Ovis aries: one gene and its partners. The protein of the gene in region 3 interacts with the protein of the main gene of each other region in a biochemical or structural test. Links are inferred from orthologs where the notes say so. Each region holds a gene or a part of one and is shown on either strand. Other genes may lie near its edges.

Region 1 (6,086 bases), on a different chromosome or scaffold from region 3:
AACCCCCCAAAGCACACTTCAGGATCCCCATTGACCACAACCTACCTCTTGGGATTGCTATGTGGGAGCAGGACAGATAAGGGGACAGGTTGGAGGGGTACCACTGGAAAATTCCCCAAACTCTGTTCCAGTTCAGGGCTTTGGAAAACACCCCTTCCCTCTCTAGGTCCAGTCATTCTGTCATCTCCGATCTCTAGCCCCTGCAGCCCCAGTCACAGATAGTAGGCTCCAGGCAAAAGCCTGGGGCTTTGTACCTTCAGGGTATCTGACAACTTCTGTGATCAGCCAGAGCTGGGAACCACTATTAAGGAACAGGAAGGCTTGCCTGCCCTCTTGGTTGAGAAAGGGGAAAAAGTCCCTCAGTCTTTTGAGTCTCCTAGCCCTTCAAAAGTGAAACAAAGATGTGACATCTAAAGAAAAACCCTCAGCCGTGCTCGGTGGTTCAGGGAATAAGCATCCATCTGCCGATGCAGGGGACACAGGTTCAATCCCTAGTCCAGGAAGAGTCCACACTAAAGCCCACAACTACTGAGTCTACACTCCATAGTCCGAGAGCCACGACTAATGTGCCACAGCTAGCCTGTGCACCTAGAACCTGTGCTCCGAAACAAGCCCACCGCAGCAAGCCTGTGCACAACAGAGTAGCTCCCCCCTCCCCTCCACCTCCGTCACTCACGGCAACTAGAGAAAGCCCGAGTGCAGAAACGAAGACCCAGGGCAACCATAAATAAATAAATAAAAATACTAAGAGAAACAAAACTCTCCTCCTCACCAAGAGGATGAGAATGACCTAAATCTCACTGACACACCCTTTAGTAAACTAATCAGGGAACTGCAAATATGGGACAGTTTCAGCTCCAGGAGCTGGGCGGATGCAGGTCCCATCTCTGGCGGGGTGGGGTGGGGAACCTGGTGGGGTATTACTCACATCAACTCCAGCACACTCCTGTCCTCTCCTCCACTTCCCCCACCCACACTACCCTCATCCTTCCTTTTGGAATAGGAGTTTTCAAAGTGAGGATTACGAAATCAATTTAGGGCACAAGGATTAGCAGATTTTAAAAAGACAACGTATTACAGAAAACCTCAGAGGACATCACAATATACAATTAAAATTGTCTCAATCCTGATCTGTGACTCTTTCTTTTTTCCTTTTTAGGTGATACACTTCACAGTCTCCTTCTGGGGAAAAATAGCATTCATGACAAAATGCTTAAGCAGTTTTTATTTACTTTATTCTTGAGGTATAGTTAATTTATAATGTGTTAGTTTCAAGTGCACAGCAAACTGATTCAGTTATACACACACCCCCATATATTCTTTTTCAGATTCTTTTCCATTGCAGGTTATTGCAACATACTGAGTATAGCTCCCTGTGATACAGTAGGGCCTTTCTGTTTGCTGCTGTTTGCTGTTTAGTCGCCAAGTGGTGTCTGACTCTTTGCGACCCCATGGACTGTCGCCCCCGAGGCGACTCTGTTCATCAGATTTCCCAGGCAAGAATACTAGAGTGTGCTGCCATTTCCTACTCCAGGGGATCTTCCTGACCGAGGGCTCGAACTTGTGTCTCCTGCTTGGCAGGCGGATTCTTTACCACTGAGCCATCTGGGAAGCCATACAGTAGTATATGTAGTATATGTTAATCCCAAACTTCTAATTTATCTCCACCTCCACCCCTGACATGTTCAACAACGAACTGCCCTTGAGTTCCTTAGTGTGGTCCTGGAAAGGACCTGCCCTGTCCACCGCCTGGGAGCAGCCCCAACAATGCGTTCACATGGTCACGTGTTTTATGAAACTTGCAAAAGCTGGACACTTAAGCCAGAATGGGTTAAGCCTGCTATCTTGTTCCACTCAGACTTCCTCTTCATCACATTTCCCCTCCTGTCATGAGGCCTCAGTGTGGCCACAGCATGGTGTGTTTATAATCCTGTGTTTTAGTTCTTACACAGGGCCTCCAACACGGGAAAGGCTTCAGGCTCCACAAAACGAGACTCTCTCTGCCACCAATCGGGGTTGTGCACTGTTGGCCCACCTTCCCTCTTATGGTACTTACAGCAGCTGTTCTTGCACACCCATTATTGGGTGAGTTTTCTCTTTTTTTTCCCTTTCTTTTTGAAATGTATTATTAACATTTAAAATGCACACAGCAGGGACCTCCCTCGTGGTTCACTGGTTAAGACACTGCGCTTCTACTGCAGGGGACACGGGTTAGATCCCTGGTGGGGGCACTGAGATCCTGCATGCTGCATAGCCAAAAAAATAAATAAAATGCACACAGTAAACAAACAGTAGAAAAGAGCATGAAAGTGAAGTCGCTCAGTCGTGTCCGAATCTTTGCGACCCCATGGACTGTAGCCTACCACACTCCTCCATCCATGGGATTTTCCAGGCAAGAGTACTGGAGTGGGTTGCCATTTCCTTCTCCAGAGGATCTTCCTGACCCAGGGATCGAACTCATGTCTCCTGCATTGTAGGCAGATGCTTCACCATCTGAGCCACCACAGAAGTCCATCCTTCAAGAGACTTAATACCTTATTTTTAGACAAATGTAAGTATATTTATACATCATTTGTTCAGACAAACCGTAGCAATCTTTTCATTTCAGCACACAGAATTTGACCTCATTCTTTTCAACAACTGCATAGATTGCATGCGTGGATTTTTATTTTTATTTTGGCTGTGCCAGGGATATAGGCTGTGCCCTGCCTTTACCACCTGGTGGCTCAAACAGTAAAGAACTGCCTGCAATGCAGGAGGACCTGGGTTTGATCCCTAGGTCCAGAAGATCCCAGTATTCTTGCCTGGAAAATTCCACAGATACAGGAGCCTGGCGGGTTATACAGTCCATGGAGTTGCAGAGTCAGACACGACTAGGAGACTTTCACTAACTCCCTGACCAAGGATGGAAACTTTGCCCCCTGCAGTGGAAGCAGGGAGTCTTAACCACTGGACCGCCGGCAAAATCCCATATGTATGGAACTTAACTTAACCTTCAAGGGCAGATTTCATCATGTCCCCTGATGTACTACTTCATCGCACTTGTCCTGCAACGTCCATCCTGGTTTTGCGCAAGACCTTATAGAAACTTACCTGCTTCATAATATTTTCCAGTTTTTTACCCTTAACCTAAGAAATCTCACTCAAAACGAAAGTCAAGCAGGTGAATCACAAAGTTGGCCACCACGTGTCAGGAAATTAGCAGTGTGCTTCAAATCAAACTCTGATCCCTTAAAATCAAAGATGCACCAGCACCGCCCCGGGGGTAGTGAGACACCACCACGCCCCTTGCCCCGCCCCAACTCCCACTCCCACAATTACCCGGAAAGACCCGCCTCGGAGGTGCCGGAAGTTTACAAAACTACAGCGGCGAGCGGGGGCCGCACAGTGGCAGAGTCACAGTGAGTCAGCCCTAAGCACTCGGTCTCTCGCTGTGCCCAGTGGCATTCAGTTCCTCCCAGTCTGGTTTAAATCTTCGAGCCTGGAAAATGCTGGGAGGGCCGGGCGGCAAAGCCATAATGTTCTAGAGGGAGCAGCGCCACCGCGAGGCCAGCTGCGGTGGACGAGGCGATGAGATGAAGGCGCTGGGCTCGGGTCCTCCTCCCCGCACCGAGATTCCCACCGCCCACTTCGGAGGGTCTGGGTTTGATTTCATGGGAGCGATCGCAGTTTTTCCTGACTCTTCTCTGCCAAACAGAAACTGGTCTTGCACTTATCTGTCCGGCTCAGAGATTACTCAAGTGTGTGTGTGTGTGTGTTGGGGGTGGGGAGGAGGAGCAGTCATGTAAGTTCTCCCCAAACGTTTGTAGATGGAATGAAGCTGCCCCAGTTAGTGATCAGCGCTCCTACAGCTGGGGTAGGTTACAACCTCCATCCTGTGGGTATGAGCTTTTGCCTCCAGCGCCTTTACGATTAGTTCCTCTGTGGCTAACCGAACTATTCATTCGGCTCCCTGGGAGGAAGCAGTGGAGGTAGGTGGGAATTAGTTATGCGACTCGTGGAGTCAATCGGGACCTGCGGTCTCGGAGACTACAAGTTCCAGAATGCATCCTTCCGCTAGCGTGTAGGGAGAGGTCGGGGTTGAGGGAGCGTTGCCTTCTGGGAGTTGTAGTCTTGAGCTTGTTTGTGATGCAGGCGCTACCCGGGGAGGGGGGAGGGGGCGAGGCCGTAAACTATTAGCACGTGACGCCCGGGATCAGGCGGTAGAGCCTGCCTCCGCACGGGAGCTGTGACTGGCTGGCGCTTATCTGAACGACGCCACCAGGGGCGGGCAGAAGAAGGGCGCAAGCGCACTGCGTCGCCAGGCTCGGGACCCTGTTCCGAGGGACTATGGCGCTCAACAAGAACCACTCTGAGGGCGGCGGAGTGATCGTCAACAACACCGAGAGGTGAAGACAGTGCGGAATAACCCTAGAGGCCCGGAAGGGCGGGCATCGAGCGTGTGGGCGGTGGGCGGCGGGGCGTGAACCCGTGGAGAGGGGAAACTGATGGGTCGGGGGGTAACGAACGGCTTGGGGCGGGGCTGCGGGAAGCTGAGTGGGTGTTGAGGGAGGGGCCGGGATGCTTTGATCAGCTGTGGGATGGGGCCGGGGCGGCCGGATGGGGCGGGGGCCTTGCAGAGACAACTGGAGCTTGCGGGTCGTCCTCGAACCCCTTGCCCAGGGTAGGAGACGTTAGGAAACGCGGAAAGCTTTAGACAAAAGTAATTGCCATTTATTTAGGCGTTTACTGTGTGTCGGGGAGGGGCGACATCTGTTCTGCCTTTTTTCAGTGTGTGAATCCTGTGCGGCAGGTGCTATTACACTACACACTTGACATGTAAGGAAACTGAGGCACAGGGAAGTTAAGAAACTTGCTTGAGCTCACAAAGCTGTAAGTAACAGCGAAGGAGTCTTGATTCCAAAGTCAGTAGCCTTAACTACCAGTATGTAGCCTTCCAGTATATTCCAGAACTGCTCAGTTTCCAGGTGAGAAACTGAGGCCCAGAGGTGAAATTACATAGTTAACGATCGTCAGATGCCTGACATATTTCCTATAAAGGTCAGTTTTTGCCTCTTTCCCTTGAATTCCTATTGGCTCGGGTCACTCCCCAGAGTGGTCTCCCACCTGTCCTGCCCACCCCCCACTCCATTCTGTCTCTCCTACCTTCCGCTCCTTGAACGGCTTCTCTCCTCTTGCTCCTTGGGCGTTGAGAATCAGACCAGCCAGCCCTGGTTGAGTGACCCAAAAGCACCTCTTGAAGGAGCAAAGAAGGAATCTGAGTCCCCAGAAGAGACTTGGTGGGATCAGAGTCTAGACACTGGTTAAGGCCAGCACTCAGCCCAGGGCTGTAACCCGGCATGCTTGTTGAGTCAGGAAAGCACTCAGGGAGCCCACAGTACTGACTCTCTCCATGGTACCGGCACAGGGTCTGCCAGGCCCAGCCTGTTCCTGATCATGACCTCTTTTCTCTGAGCTTTCCCTGTCTTTTCTGGTACTGGTCCTCTTTCCACTTACCCCTCCCCAGTGAAGGAAGTTGTGATATCTGGGAGGGCAAAAAAAAAGACAAATAGAACCACGTGAACTTGGGCTGCGTTGTCTTGTAATCAGAGAAACCTCACATTGCCCTGGGTGTGTAGCCTCTCTGTGTGCGAGCCAGTCCCAGGGTGGACAAACCCTGCTGATGCCATTTGGTACCATCTCCTGGGACTGTTCCTTCTCTCTCAGTGGGGCTTTTCTGGGACAAGAATGTTATCTTAAAAACAAAAAAGAATGTTACCTGTCCTCCTGGGCCTCCTACCTGGTTTAGGACTCAGTGCTGCTGTGTAATGGTGTGCCTTATTTTTAGCAAATGCTTGCGCCCCAGTTCTGAAAAAGTTGTGTAAACAGTAACTGAAGTCTCCATTCAGCATATAAAGCTTGATGTGTGAAACAGTGAACCTCACTCTTCAAGAATCCCTGTGAGAGCGATGAGAGCTATGGACTGTCACAGGAAAAAGCACGTGTGTGATCGTCTCAAGGATTCATGGGCTGATAGCCCTGCACACTCAGCTTAAGCACCCCAGGTTTAGAGGAACCCTGAAGTGAGCCCTTTGGTAAGGTGGAGA
Region 2 (6,086 bases), on a different chromosome or scaffold from region 3:
TGTATAAATTTATATGAAGCACCTGATTGTGACAAGGGTCAGGTCTGCTGACCCCCGCGCGACTCTGTATTCATCCCTATGTATAACAAAAAGGTATTTAAACAAACCTGAAAAATCAAGAAATCGGATCAGTTTCTGGAAAGACTGATTCCCCCGTGTCGTTTCTTTCTTGCTCCCCGTTTTCCTGGCTGAATTCCCATCTGAAATGTGGGTACTCACCAAGTCTGCTAATTCTGCCTGGGCTTCTGAGATCGGACCGGGGAGGCCTGAGTGCCTCCTCTCCTCTGGGAGAATGGAAAGACGCCTGTGGCCTACGTAGGTGGTGATTGGTAGTTCATGTAAACCAGTTATTCAGCCTCTTTTCTCCACTAATTCTCCTACTACACTGTTTCTAATCTCCCTCTATATCTGTAATTAAGTTTTTTCCAGGACGCCGATTCCATCCCCACCTTCGAATTACCCTGGATCCACCGGGGCTGGACCCCGGCAAGAGTTGGACTGTGAAGAAGGCTGAGCGCTGAAGAATTGATGCTTTTGAACTGTGGTGTTGGAGAAGACTCTTGAGAGTCCCTTGGACTGCAAGGAGATCCAACCAGTCCATCCTAAAGGAGATCAGCCCTGGGTGTTCTTTGGAAGGACTGATGCTAAAGCTGAAACTCCAGTACTTTGGCCACCTCATGCAAAGAGTTGACTCATTGGAAAAGACTTTGATGCTGGGAGGGATTGGGGGCAGGAGGAGAAGGGGACGACAGAGGATGAGATGGCTGGATGGAATCACTGACTCAATGGATGTGAATCTGAGTGAACTCCAGGAGTTGGTGATGGACAGGGAGGCCTGGCGTGCTGTGATTCATGGGGTCTCAAAGAGCCGGACACGACTGAGCGACTGAACTGAACTGATAGTCAGATATGTGATAGCTTAATGTGAATGAAACATGTTCTGGATGGTTCATCTGGGTTTGTTTACAGACATTTTTGTCTGGCTCATGAAGTTACTGTGGTGAGATTTATATCTGCTACCACCACTACTGCTCTGTCCATTTGCTTTCTCCATTTACTTCCTGGCCTCCAAGGCCTCCCATCTCCCGCCGAGTTCAAACTTAACCTCTTCTATGAGGCTTTCCCTCACTCCCTCACTCCATCTGTCTTGAGGAAGGTTTCTGTCTCTGACAGCACTTAATGCACCACCCAACAAACAGCACATGTGGCCAAATGTGACCCTGTGTCCATATTTGTATCGTTACACATTTAATGCCTCCTTGACTCCTCTGCCAGAGTTCTGAAGTTTGGTTAGCCTAGACCCAGGGGCACCAGGCCTGACACCAGGAGATGAGGGAATGATGAGACCCTCATCATTAAAATAAAAAGAGGTGCGAAGCTCTGAGTCCTAATCCTGACACAGCAGGTGGCCACCACTAGGTGGTAGTGTGACCAAGCATCTTCCGGTCTCCATGCCTCAGCTTCGGTATCTTTTAAAAGAAGATGTTATCTGCTTTGCTTGGGAAAACATAACATGACCCTGGGCTAGTAACAGAAGAACCTTAGTTTCCACTGTCACCTTCTCAGAATAGCAGAATTACTTTTCTGAATTACTATAAATTACTTTTATAAATATAGCAGAATTACTATAAATTACTTTTGGGGACTTCAGTATTCCTACACATAAAAAGTTAAACTAGATTTAAGTTTCTTAGAGTGTGGTCTCCAGGGTTCCTGGAAGTCTTTCAGGGGACCAACAAGGTCAAAACTATTTACATATTTACATAACAGTATTCATAGCTCTGAGCTTCCCAGGTAGCTCAGCTGGTAAACAATCCGCCTGTAATGCAGGAGACCCCGGTTGAATTCCTGGGTTGGGAAGATCCCCTGGGGAAGGGAATGGCTACCCACTCCAGTATTCTTGCCTGGAAAATCCTATGGACAGAGAAGCCTGGCGGGCTACATACAGTCCATGGGATCTGCACAGTCGGACACGACTGAGCGACGAAGCACAGCACAGCACTCATAGCTATTTCTCTTCATTCTCTCTTGTGAGTGTACAATATTGGTATTCTAAGGATAACTTGTAATGGATTTCTTACTGTTTTGAAGTGAATTAATATATTCACATTTCCCCCGTTTTCTTAAAAAGGAAATACATATGTATAAGCGTGTATATGTACACATCCATCCTATACAAACAAAAGTTCTTAAATGTCCTTAAGTAATTTTTAAGTGTAAAGGGGTCCCAAGACCAAAATATTTGAGAACTGTTGAACCAGATTCCTAGCTCGTCATTCATTCACTCAACATATAACTGTCCCTCCCGAGACAGCATTTCTTAACGAAGGAGATGATCAAGAAATAGTCCCCCCACCCAAAAAGAAAAAAGAAATAGTCCCCGCTCCCCCCAGGGCGTTTACATTTGAGAAGGACGAATATATCAACAAGACAACGTCTAAAAGCGGTGTCATGAAGACATAAAGCAGGACACGTGTCTCCCCCGCGCAGGGTCGGTCCGGGGTCCCTCACCCCGCTGAGCTGGCCGGGCGTTGGGGACGCGAGTACCGGGAACTAGGACACCGGGAAGCCGCTGGTGCCGGCGTACGGTGACGTCACTGGGCCGCGCCAGCCAATCACGGGCGCCCCACGGTCCTAGACCCCCGCGGCGGCCCGTGGCCTGCGGGCGGCGCTGTGGCCCGTCGGACGGCCCCACTGAGCCGCCATAGCCGCCCGCCTCCCACGACCCAACGTCTCCGTCGCCGGCTCCGCGCCGCCGCTATGGCCGACGTGGAAGACGGTGAGGAACCCTGTGCCCTGTCCTCTCACTCGGGGAGCGCAGGATCCAAGTCGGGCGGTGACAAAATGTTCTCTCTCAAGAAGTGGAACGCGGTGGCCATGTGGAGCTGGGACGTGGAGTGCGATACGTGCGCCATCTGCAGGGTCCAGGTGATGGGTAAGCGCAGCAGGCGAGGCCCCGGCTGTGCTGCGGCCTCCGCAGGCCCGGCTTCGGGCGTGGGGGGAAGGACCAAGCCTTGGAGAGACCGTTCCGGGAGGAGTAGGGGCGGGATCGCCCTGCCCCGGCCCCAGGAGACCGCGGGCCACGCCCGAGCTGGTCGTTCAGCAGGCGACTTGTGCCGGGGACGGGTATTCTGGGGGAATAGGGGGGTAGCAGGCAGGACAGTTAAACAAGGTCATTTCCAGTAGTGATCGGTGTGATCACGACAATAAAAGTAGGTGATTTGACGGGAGCTGGGAGGAACCACTTCGGTTTGTGTGGCCAGCGACCGCACCCTTTTCCGAAAGCAAACCACACAGAGGTCAAGGTCAAGGCCCTGAGTCAGCGGGTCAGTCGGATGGTTCTGGTCACACACCAAAGTGATGCTCTGGAGTCATTTTCCCCCCAAACGGCCGCTAGTCGTGCTCTGGAGAGGCGCAGGGAAGAAGAGTGTTCCTAGCCGTCCCCTTTCTAGATTGGCTACTGTTCTGCTGGCTTTTAAACCTGGATGATTCAAGATTGGTCAGATCGCACTCGGTTGGCTTGAACTAGAAGAATGTAAACCCTTTTATTCAGAGACATGAAGCTTCATCTCTTTACTGGCCACTCCCCATCCTAGCATGCAATTTCTTGGAGAAGGGTAGTGCCCTCAAGTCTGGCCTTTCTGGAAAGCCCTCTTTTGCAAACTTGTTACTTCTTTCTATGATATTTTTAATGAAAATATTGGACCACGTGAAGCCTTTCAGAGCAGCTTCATCTCGTTGTGTTTTATATGGTCTCTGTTTTAAGATCTTAGACGACCTTAAAAAAGAGTTGCTGTTTAAATGCACGTTATATTTTTAAATAGGGCATTTAAAACTACAGCATTTAAGAGTGTCTTAAATGTCATTTCTTGAAGGTAATTGGAGAAAACTGAGGCTTCTGTAGTTTGAAAACTTTGTGTCTTGCACTGAAAAATGAGACAGTTGGAGAAAGTAACTTAAAAGATGCTTTCCCTTCTTGAGCATTGAAAATTTAGACCTACCAGAAACAAGAGATTTCTCAATTTACTCTCTCTGTAGTATGCACTTATGTTTTTTATTCGTAGGAATTTGTTTTAAAGAGAATTTGCAACTATGGGATTCAAATATTTTTTTACTTTTTAAAAGAACTAGATTTCAGATGTGATCGACTTATTTTGTGTATCGGGTTTTTAGGTACTTAGTTTATGGGCCTGCAATACAGCCCCCTTGCCCTAACCCTTTCTTGAAAGCTAGAATCATAACTTCCAGTTTGTGGGATTTTTTTTCTTTTTTAGTTTAAAATAATTTTCCTAAAAGAGCATCTTATTTTTCTCCCCAAAGAAAAATTTTAAATTAGTAGGTAGAAATGCAAAATATAAAATAATGGTTGAAAGTTTGCAAGAAATAAACTTTACTGGGATATTTAAGGTAAGTCAAAGTATGGGCTATAAATGACTCACTTCTCACATTAACTTTCTAATTATAACAAGTATTTGCTACTGTGGATTAATGTTTCATATTTACAACAGCTGTACTTTGGGTTCAGAAAAGTATTCTGGGCTAGACCTCTGTATTGTGTTTATGAGGTGTTAAAATCTATTTGGTGGTCAGGTGACAGCAGAAGGAAGTGTGTTTTCTGGCATCATTCTAAAAGGTGTTACTGTACTCCTTAGAAATGCGCTGTTTTAGATATTAAGAACATCATCAAAGGAAAATGTTTTCTTTTATATGAAACTTTAGGAATTTTTATCTGTTCAGATCAGTTGTTGATAGTGAATCTAAATAAAAGCCGTAGGCATGATTCAGAGACTTCTAGATTCTATAAAAAGCCCACTTAATCCTGTGTCCTTGATATTTGAATTCATCTCATACACCTAAATGATTTGTTATAACTTCTTGATCTAAGAATTGCCAGTCAGCCCATTCTAATGTGGTTAAGACACTCTTCCTTGGTTTCCACTCTGCCGACTTTATTGGGAAAGGAGCTGCTAGCAAGCACCGGTGAGGAAGAGGGGACGAGGTTTGCTTGTATTGTCAAGGGATAAAGAGCCAGAGTAACCTTCCACAGCTATCTGTTAACTTGGACGTTTGACATAACCTTCTGGAGCCTTGTTTTCCTAACTTGTAAAAGAGACAGTTGGGATCCTGAACTTTCTGTGACTGCACAGAACCAGAGGCATGTCTTCCCCCTTATATCATGATCCTTGCGATATTTAACTGTTTACCTATCCACTTTCCCATTTACTGGTGAGACCAGGGACCCAGACTTGGTCATTTTGGTGGCCCCCAGGCATTACTCTTTGCACAGGGTAGGTACTCAGTAACTGTGAAATTGAAGAAAGCCTCAGGAGGCAGTGGTGGTTTTTAATCCACACTGAAGAGGCCAGGGTAGTGTGTTTTTTTTAAGGGTAAGAGCATGCAGAGAGGAGCAAACAAATGCCTGAGCATAATCCAGTGTAAGAAAAGAAGTAGGCTTCAACTCTATCCTGTTTCTATTTTTATAGAATTTTTCTCTAATTTATATTAAAATCTTTTTTTTTTTTCTGTTAGTTTGAACTTCCTTTCACCCAACTTTGACTGCTTTCAGCTAGTGAATGAGTCCATTTCTTTGGTTCCTAAAATATTCTATATTACGTTCTTCAAGCAAATGGTAGTACAGACTGAATTTTGAAAAGTTCTAGTATATCCTTTTGGTTCCCATTCCTCATGTTTACTCCCAGGTAATTTATTAAAATACTTTACCGTTGTTGGGTAAATGCTTTGGGCTCAGATTATTTGTAAAGGGAGCATTTCCTTAAAAAGAAAAAATAAGAGAGAGAACCTAATATTTAGGGTTTTTTAAATTTAATTTTTATGTAGGTTATACAGTCACAACTTAAAAACTTGAGAAAGTGTGCAGTGAAAACCCCTTCCCATTCCATCTCCTCCCAGGTGAACTTTATTATTAGTTTCTTGACTATCCTTCTAGAGTTTCTAAATATATGTAAGCAAATACCAATATATATTTGTGGCTTATTTTAAAGGATGTCTTGAAAATAAACTGTTCATAAAATTGATCTGTGTGCATGTGCCCAGGGAGTAATATAGTGAAATATAGCATATTTTTC
Region 3 (5,986 bases):
TTATAATGAAGTTGTAAAGAATGAATAACACTGGAAAACAAGAGTCCAAGCAGAAGCAGAATCCAGAGAGTCCTCCTATACAAGCAAATCTAGGCCACAGGATAATCTCCTGAGTTACTCTTGCTCAGTTTCTACAAAACCCAAACCCCACAAACCCAGGAGGAAATCAAGTTGGAGCTCTTCAAAAGCAAATTTTTGAAACTATTTTCCCTATTGCAAGATATATTGAAAAATACAGACATAAAATAACTAGACTCTAATCATATATTACAGCTACTCAAAAAATAAGCATCCTTTCCCTAAAAGAAGCTATGCAAAATTGTTCATATATAATAAATTGTCTATTACTTTTTCAAATGTACTTCCCATGCTTTCAGCCCATATGACAAACATTCCTAAGAACTCATTATAAGTATCACTAACCTGCTTCTTCAACTTTCTTCGGAAGAACTCATACTTTCTTTTGTAATCCCTGGAGTAGGGCACTGCCTTGAGTTAAAAATTTTGGAAAAATAAAGAAGGTTTAAGTTGTTTTATTCTGGAACAATTTAAAAAACTCCCCTCTGGGTATTTTACGAACATAAGTTAAAGGCATTAAAAGAGAATATTTGGAAAGAAAAGTTTAATTCAAAGAAAAAGAAATATAAAACTTAAAAAATTTTAATTTCTCTGTTTAAGATAAAATTGTATCCAGCAATTCTTATGGCTGTAATTTTCATCATGCAGTATTCTTGAAATGCAATAGGCCAGAAACAGAAATGTCTTCCAAGTAAAGAAATATTAGAAATGAAAATTTCCATTTCTAAAAAGACTTTCAAAGTGATTTCTCCATTAAAGGAACAATTTGAAAAATGTACTTTTTCCTTGAACTCTGAGGAGTTGCCTTTTTTATCCATTACTTTAAAAGACTAAACATGGAGTCACAAGAGTAAACTAAAAGAATTGTATCTTCAATTTTACTTATTTTTGTGAATTAGAAAACAATTATAACCTGAAAAAGAAGCTATATAAAAGAGGAAAATTATTTTCCTATCATTAATCTGATTCAAGAGTAGTATAAACATTCATACATAGTAATACTTGTACTTTAAATATGAATGTCTTATATACCAGTATTTACAATGATTTCAACCAAAAAGTTCAAGACATGACCCTGATTTGACAAGGCACTGTCGGCTTTCTCATCAGATACACTCTTGGTTCCTATCTGATTTGCTGAGGATTCCAGCATTCTTTTTTCAGATTATTTCAAGTACTAGTCTGAGCACAGCAGCCTCACTGAGTTAGCTTCACTGAGTTAACTTTCTTGCTCACTGGCATCCCAAGGTGGTTGTGTAGAGTAAAGGTAACTACTTTAAATGCCCTTTTCAAATAACTGAGACCGAGTGTATGGGTGGTGGGGAGAGGAGAGATTTGCAAATGTGCTTTCCTCTCAACACCTTTATTTAGAGCTATACCCTTCATCATCTGTCCTTGAAGACACAAGTAAGAGGACAACCCCATCAGAGGATGCTGATACAAAGGGACTTACTGGTCCAGTTATTGCTACATGCTGCAAACGAGGGTCTTCCCATTGTGTTTTTTTACTATCTGAAGAAAGAGAGGAAAAAAAGAGGTTCTTTATTCTCATGCAAAAAATTCGATATTACAAAAGATAATGTAATGGGAAAAAAAATCACACTGTACATACTGTGATTTATGTAAAAGATTCTTCCATCAGTGTGAGTTCTTTCTTCCCATCCTGGCTATAATGAAGAACATATTTCATTTATATTAGGAACAGGTTTTCAGTGTATGGGCAGAAAAATGGTTTTGGTTATATGGTCGATTTAATTTGTATATTCCATTCTTGGTAGAAGACATCAACACTTCAACAACAATAATAATTATAGTTATGAAAGAACTATTTCATTCCGAAATACAAATGTTTGAGACAGTCAAGTTAGATGGGTAACAGTTCTATAAACTTACAGGTAAAGGCCCCAGGTCACTGGAAGAATCAAGTGATGTCTTTCCTCTCAGATGAGCTGGAATTTTCAGTCTTGGATCTTCCTTTTTTGGTAGAGTAAATAAAGAAAACAATATATACACACAAACTTTAAAATCATGAAAGTCAATCTGTTACTATGTTTTCTAATATCAATGAATTCACTTTCATTTGCTTACTCAATGAAATAATAGGTTCTCATCTAAAATCTCTCCTTCATAGGCTACAATATTCAGTTCTAAGGGACCCTGGCAATCCAGTGGTTAAGACTCCACACTTCCACCGCAGGGGGCATGGGTTCGATTCCTGACTGGGAAACTAAAATTCTACATACCTTGCGGCAGGCCAAAAACATTTTTTTTCTTTTTTAATTAAAAAAAATTCAATTAGATCTTGAGAAGGATCCGTATTAACTTACTTGCTCTTTCACAAAAACCATTTAGAGTATTTTGCCCACTCTTTAAGGATTATGTCACTACACAGGGCTCTTCTCTAAATAAAAACTGGTGTAAGAGTGGACATAAAGCTGGAGCACATGTTATTTCTGAGGCCTTGAACATGCTTTTTGGTACCCAGACAGATGCTAAGCTGTTAATTTATTATATATTAATTTATTAATTTTAAGAGATAAGAAGGTAAGCTCAAAAAGGTTATTAAAGCCAACTCAAATTATTGAAAGAAAGAACAAAATTTAATTTATTTGGATTTATTTAAATATTATCATTTCAATATTGTTTTATTAAGTAATGTATTATATAATTTTAATTTAGGCATATTGGTAACTTTTAAATAATTTATTAATCAAAATCTCTGCATTTACTGATAATTTTCAGTAGTTTTTCTATTAGTGGTGAACCAACTACTCAACAACTTTAAGCCTTATCTTAAAATAAAAATACTTATTCTACCTAGCTCATAAGGCTTTCTGAATATTATGAGGTATGGATTCAAAAGTACTTTGGAACTAGAGGCCTCATATAAAGGGAAATGATTATGACTAAATATCTTCCTGGGCATTTATGGCTAGGGAGCTAAAAACTGCAAACACAAGAAACACAAGACTTCCTTGGTAGTTAGGACTCCATACCTTCACTGAAGAGTGGAATGGGTTCAATCTCTGCTTGGGGAGCTAAGATCCCACAAGCCATGTGGCATGGCCAAAAAACAAAACAAAAGCCCACTGCAAACAGGAAGTAAATGTATAGCCTTAACAATCCCCCCGATATTAAAAATAGGTATAAATATACTGAATATAAATAATACTCTTAAGAATTCAACATATTTTTAAATAAGGACTAGGAATGGATTGGGTAGCCAGCCATTCCCTTCTCCAGGAGATCTTCTGGACCCAGGGATCAAAACCGGGTCTCTACCGCACTCCAAGCAGGTTCTTTACCAACCAAACAACCAGGGAAGCCTGTATTAATGTATACTTACAAAGATTATCAAGAACTACACGTAAGTGATTGTTATTGTTATTACAAATTTAAACTGGAAACCACTGAAGTTACCCAGGTGGTGGTTTTGGTGTTGTGGTCAATGAAGAAAGGCCTCCCGTTTGGTGCGTGCCGGACCTCCCAGCCTTTGGGGAGGAATCCTTGCTCCATTTCAGATGGCTGGGTCACCTGCTGTGCTGCGTCACTCGCGGGGGCCTGTGGCTGAGGGCCTGCAGAAGAACCCTGGCTTGACGGCAGCTGACTGGTCTCCACTGTGGCCTAGCACATTAATTCAATTATGTAGTAATGTTTACAGAGAACATACAAATAGCTGTGGTTAAAAAGGTAACTGAATCTGCAAACAGCACACACACTTATAAACAGGCCTAAAGACTGGAGGCTCATTTCTCCAATAAAGTGCTTTGTCAAAGTTTGTTTTTAAAACAATTTAAAATTTCTCAGCTAATTCTTGAGCAGTAAGATGCGGTTAACAGTCTGTTAACCCTAGTTGCAGGGAAGCCGCACTGACAACTACAGAAGGTTGTTTTTTGCTCACCCCAAAGACTCACATAGAGTGGGAATTTCCCACACGAAAAATGGGTTCAAATGGTGGTAGACAAGATAAATGGCAAACAGCCACTACAGAAATGGATAACTGAAATGTAATATATTCTTGTGATAAAATAAAAGGCAGCTAAAAAAAAAAAAACCCACTAGATCTATATATAAACCAACATGATATGATTTTAAAACAATAGTGAGCAAAAAATATTTAGAATTACATAATATCTTTGTTAAATTTGACACATGGACATAAATAATATTTTGCATTGTTTAGCTCTCTACTAAGTACATAAAATAGGCAGGAAGAATTCCCAACAAGCTCACAGTGATATTTCCCTCTGGGTAGCAGGGTCAAGTGCTTGATTAAAAGATAAAATCTTTTCCTCTGTATTGTATTTTAAAAAACAAAAAATCTAGAACCAAATACGGTGAGCTGTTAATGGTGGTAAATTAAGTGTTTTAAGAAAATGGATACTTACTATATTATTCTCTGTACTTTTCAGTTTTAAAAAATTTCTCAAGAGAAATTGTGACATTTTGCTAAATGCTTACTTACAAAGAAATATTATTAATACAAAAGGCAAACTGTTGCCAAGGACGCAGTGTCATTATGACAAAGTTCTTTGATAGATGCTAATCACCAAGATTATTTTTAGCAAAATAATGATCTTAACCATTCAAATTACAAAATTACCCAGTAAACCAGATCATTTACTTTGTCCTCCTAGTCCCAAATGGACTTATTTTACCTAATAACCAGTAATGACTCACACATATTAGAGATCTGCAGGAAATGACAGACAGCACCAATGTCAGAAAATAATTAGAAGTATCCAGCATCTACTACTAAGTGGTATATTATAACAGCGCCCATAGAAATATGATGGTTTAAATTACCTAAGAAAACACCATAATGAACAGACTGCAGGGTACCTGTACAGTGGGCTTTATCCAGGTAGTAGTTCTGCAGTTGTGATCCACATAGTATGATCTTCCTCTTTCATCTTGTTTTTCTTCCCAACCTGGTGGTAATCCAGATGAAGTAGGCAAAAGCTACAGTGAAGAATAACAGAATTAAATATTAATAAGAAAGAATCCTTCTTATTTATTGTATTTTATCATTACTATTTTTTAAAATATTTATTTATTTGGCTGTGTTGGGCCTTAGCTGTAGGACACGGGATCTTGGTTGCTGCATGCAGGATCTTTTAGCTGCAGCATGTGGGCTCCAGTTGCCTAATCAGGATTGAACCCAGTTCCCCTGCATTGCAAGCATGGAATCTTAGCCACTGGACCATCAGGAAAGCTCCCAGAAAGAATCATTTTTAAAGGACCATATCTCCTTTTTCACTGATAACCCTCTTTAAAACAAATCATGTTTTAAACCATACTTTAAAGTGCACAGAATTTCACTTAAAAAAAAACCAACAGAGCAGACAATAATGATGAGTGTGATAACAACACGCGAGTGGTAACAACCACTTACTGCTCTCACACAGACCATGCCATTTCACCGCCACACAAATCTTGATGAGATAATTAAGATTACTGGCCCATTTTACTTACGAGAAAACTGTAGTTTTAGAAAATGGAAGTAATTTCCTAACAGATAACATTGCTATTATGGAGCTGAGATTTGAACACAGGTAGTCAAACCATAGAAATTATCACCCATATGTGCCAAGTCAAAAGTTACCCCTGCTTTCTTTCTGTGAAGGCTGGGGAAGTGCTGATTACTGTAGTTTATTGCTAATGAACAAAAGAGGTCTAGTTTTCCAGGTTTACTGAAAACAGTCCAGGTCCGACCTTCCTTTTGTCTTTTGAGTTAGATTAGACTCTTCAACGTTTGGCCTGGTTCCCTAATGTGTCTTACATATTAATATAAAAACTATGACCACTAGTCTGTTCACTAGGTACACTGTTCTGTAGATACACAGAGGTAGATGTACATTGCTGACAGTTGTAATGAGCTCTGAGTCTATAAAATAATGGAATTCAA

What was found.
Region 1: of the proteins of NEDD4 (region 3) and WBP2, one has a biochemical effect on the other in vitro, tested with the Homo sapiens proteins (6 studies listed by BioGRID, with this or other methods). The link is inferred for Ovis aries from reciprocal best matches to the Homo sapiens genes NEDD4 and WBP2.
Region 2: the proteins of NEDD4 (region 3) and RNF7 form a complex in vitro, tested with the Homo sapiens proteins (2 studies listed by BioGRID, with this or other methods). The link is inferred for Ovis aries from reciprocal best matches to the Homo sapiens genes NEDD4 and RNF7.

The regions. Positions count from the first base shown.
Region 1 is NC_056064.1:55,100,001-55,106,086, forward strand, and holds the start of WBP2 (WW domain-binding protein 2), read left to right. Parts: upstream 1-2,096; 5' UTR 2,097-3,243; coding exon 3,244-3,401; intron 3,402-4,272; exon of another isoform or gene 4,273-4,329; coding exon of another isoform or gene 4,330-4,388; intron 4,389-6,086. UniProt on the Homo sapiens protein: Acts as a transcriptional coactivator of estrogen and progesterone receptors (ESR1 and PGR) upon hormone activation. In presence of estrogen, binds to ESR1-responsive promoters. Synergizes with YAP1 to enhance PGR activity.
Region 2 is NC_056054.1:247,816,928-247,823,013, reverse strand, and holds the start of RNF7 (RING-box protein 2), read left to right. Parts: upstream 1-2,731; 5' UTR 2,732-2,760; coding exon 2,761-2,935; intron 2,936-6,086. UniProt on the Homo sapiens protein: Catalytic component of multiple cullin-5-RING E3 ubiquitin-protein ligase complexes (ECS complexes), which mediate the ubiquitination and subsequent proteasomal degradation of target proteins.
Region 3 is NC_056060.1:52,667,296-52,673,281, reverse strand, and holds part of NEDD4 (E3 ubiquitin-protein ligase NEDD4), read right to left. Parts: intron 5,041-5,986; coding exon 4,921-5,040; intron 3,703-4,920; coding exon 3,499-3,702; intron 2,053-3,498; coding exon 1,972-2,052; intron 1,746-1,971; coding exon 1,691-1,745; intron 1,591-1,690; coding exon 1,532-1,590; intron 490-1,531; coding exon 424-489; intron 1-423. UniProt on the Homo sapiens protein: E3 ubiquitin-protein ligase which accepts ubiquitin from an E2 ubiquitin-conjugating enzyme in the form of a thioester and then directly transfers the ubiquitin to targeted substrates. Specifically ubiquitinates 'Lys-63' in target proteins.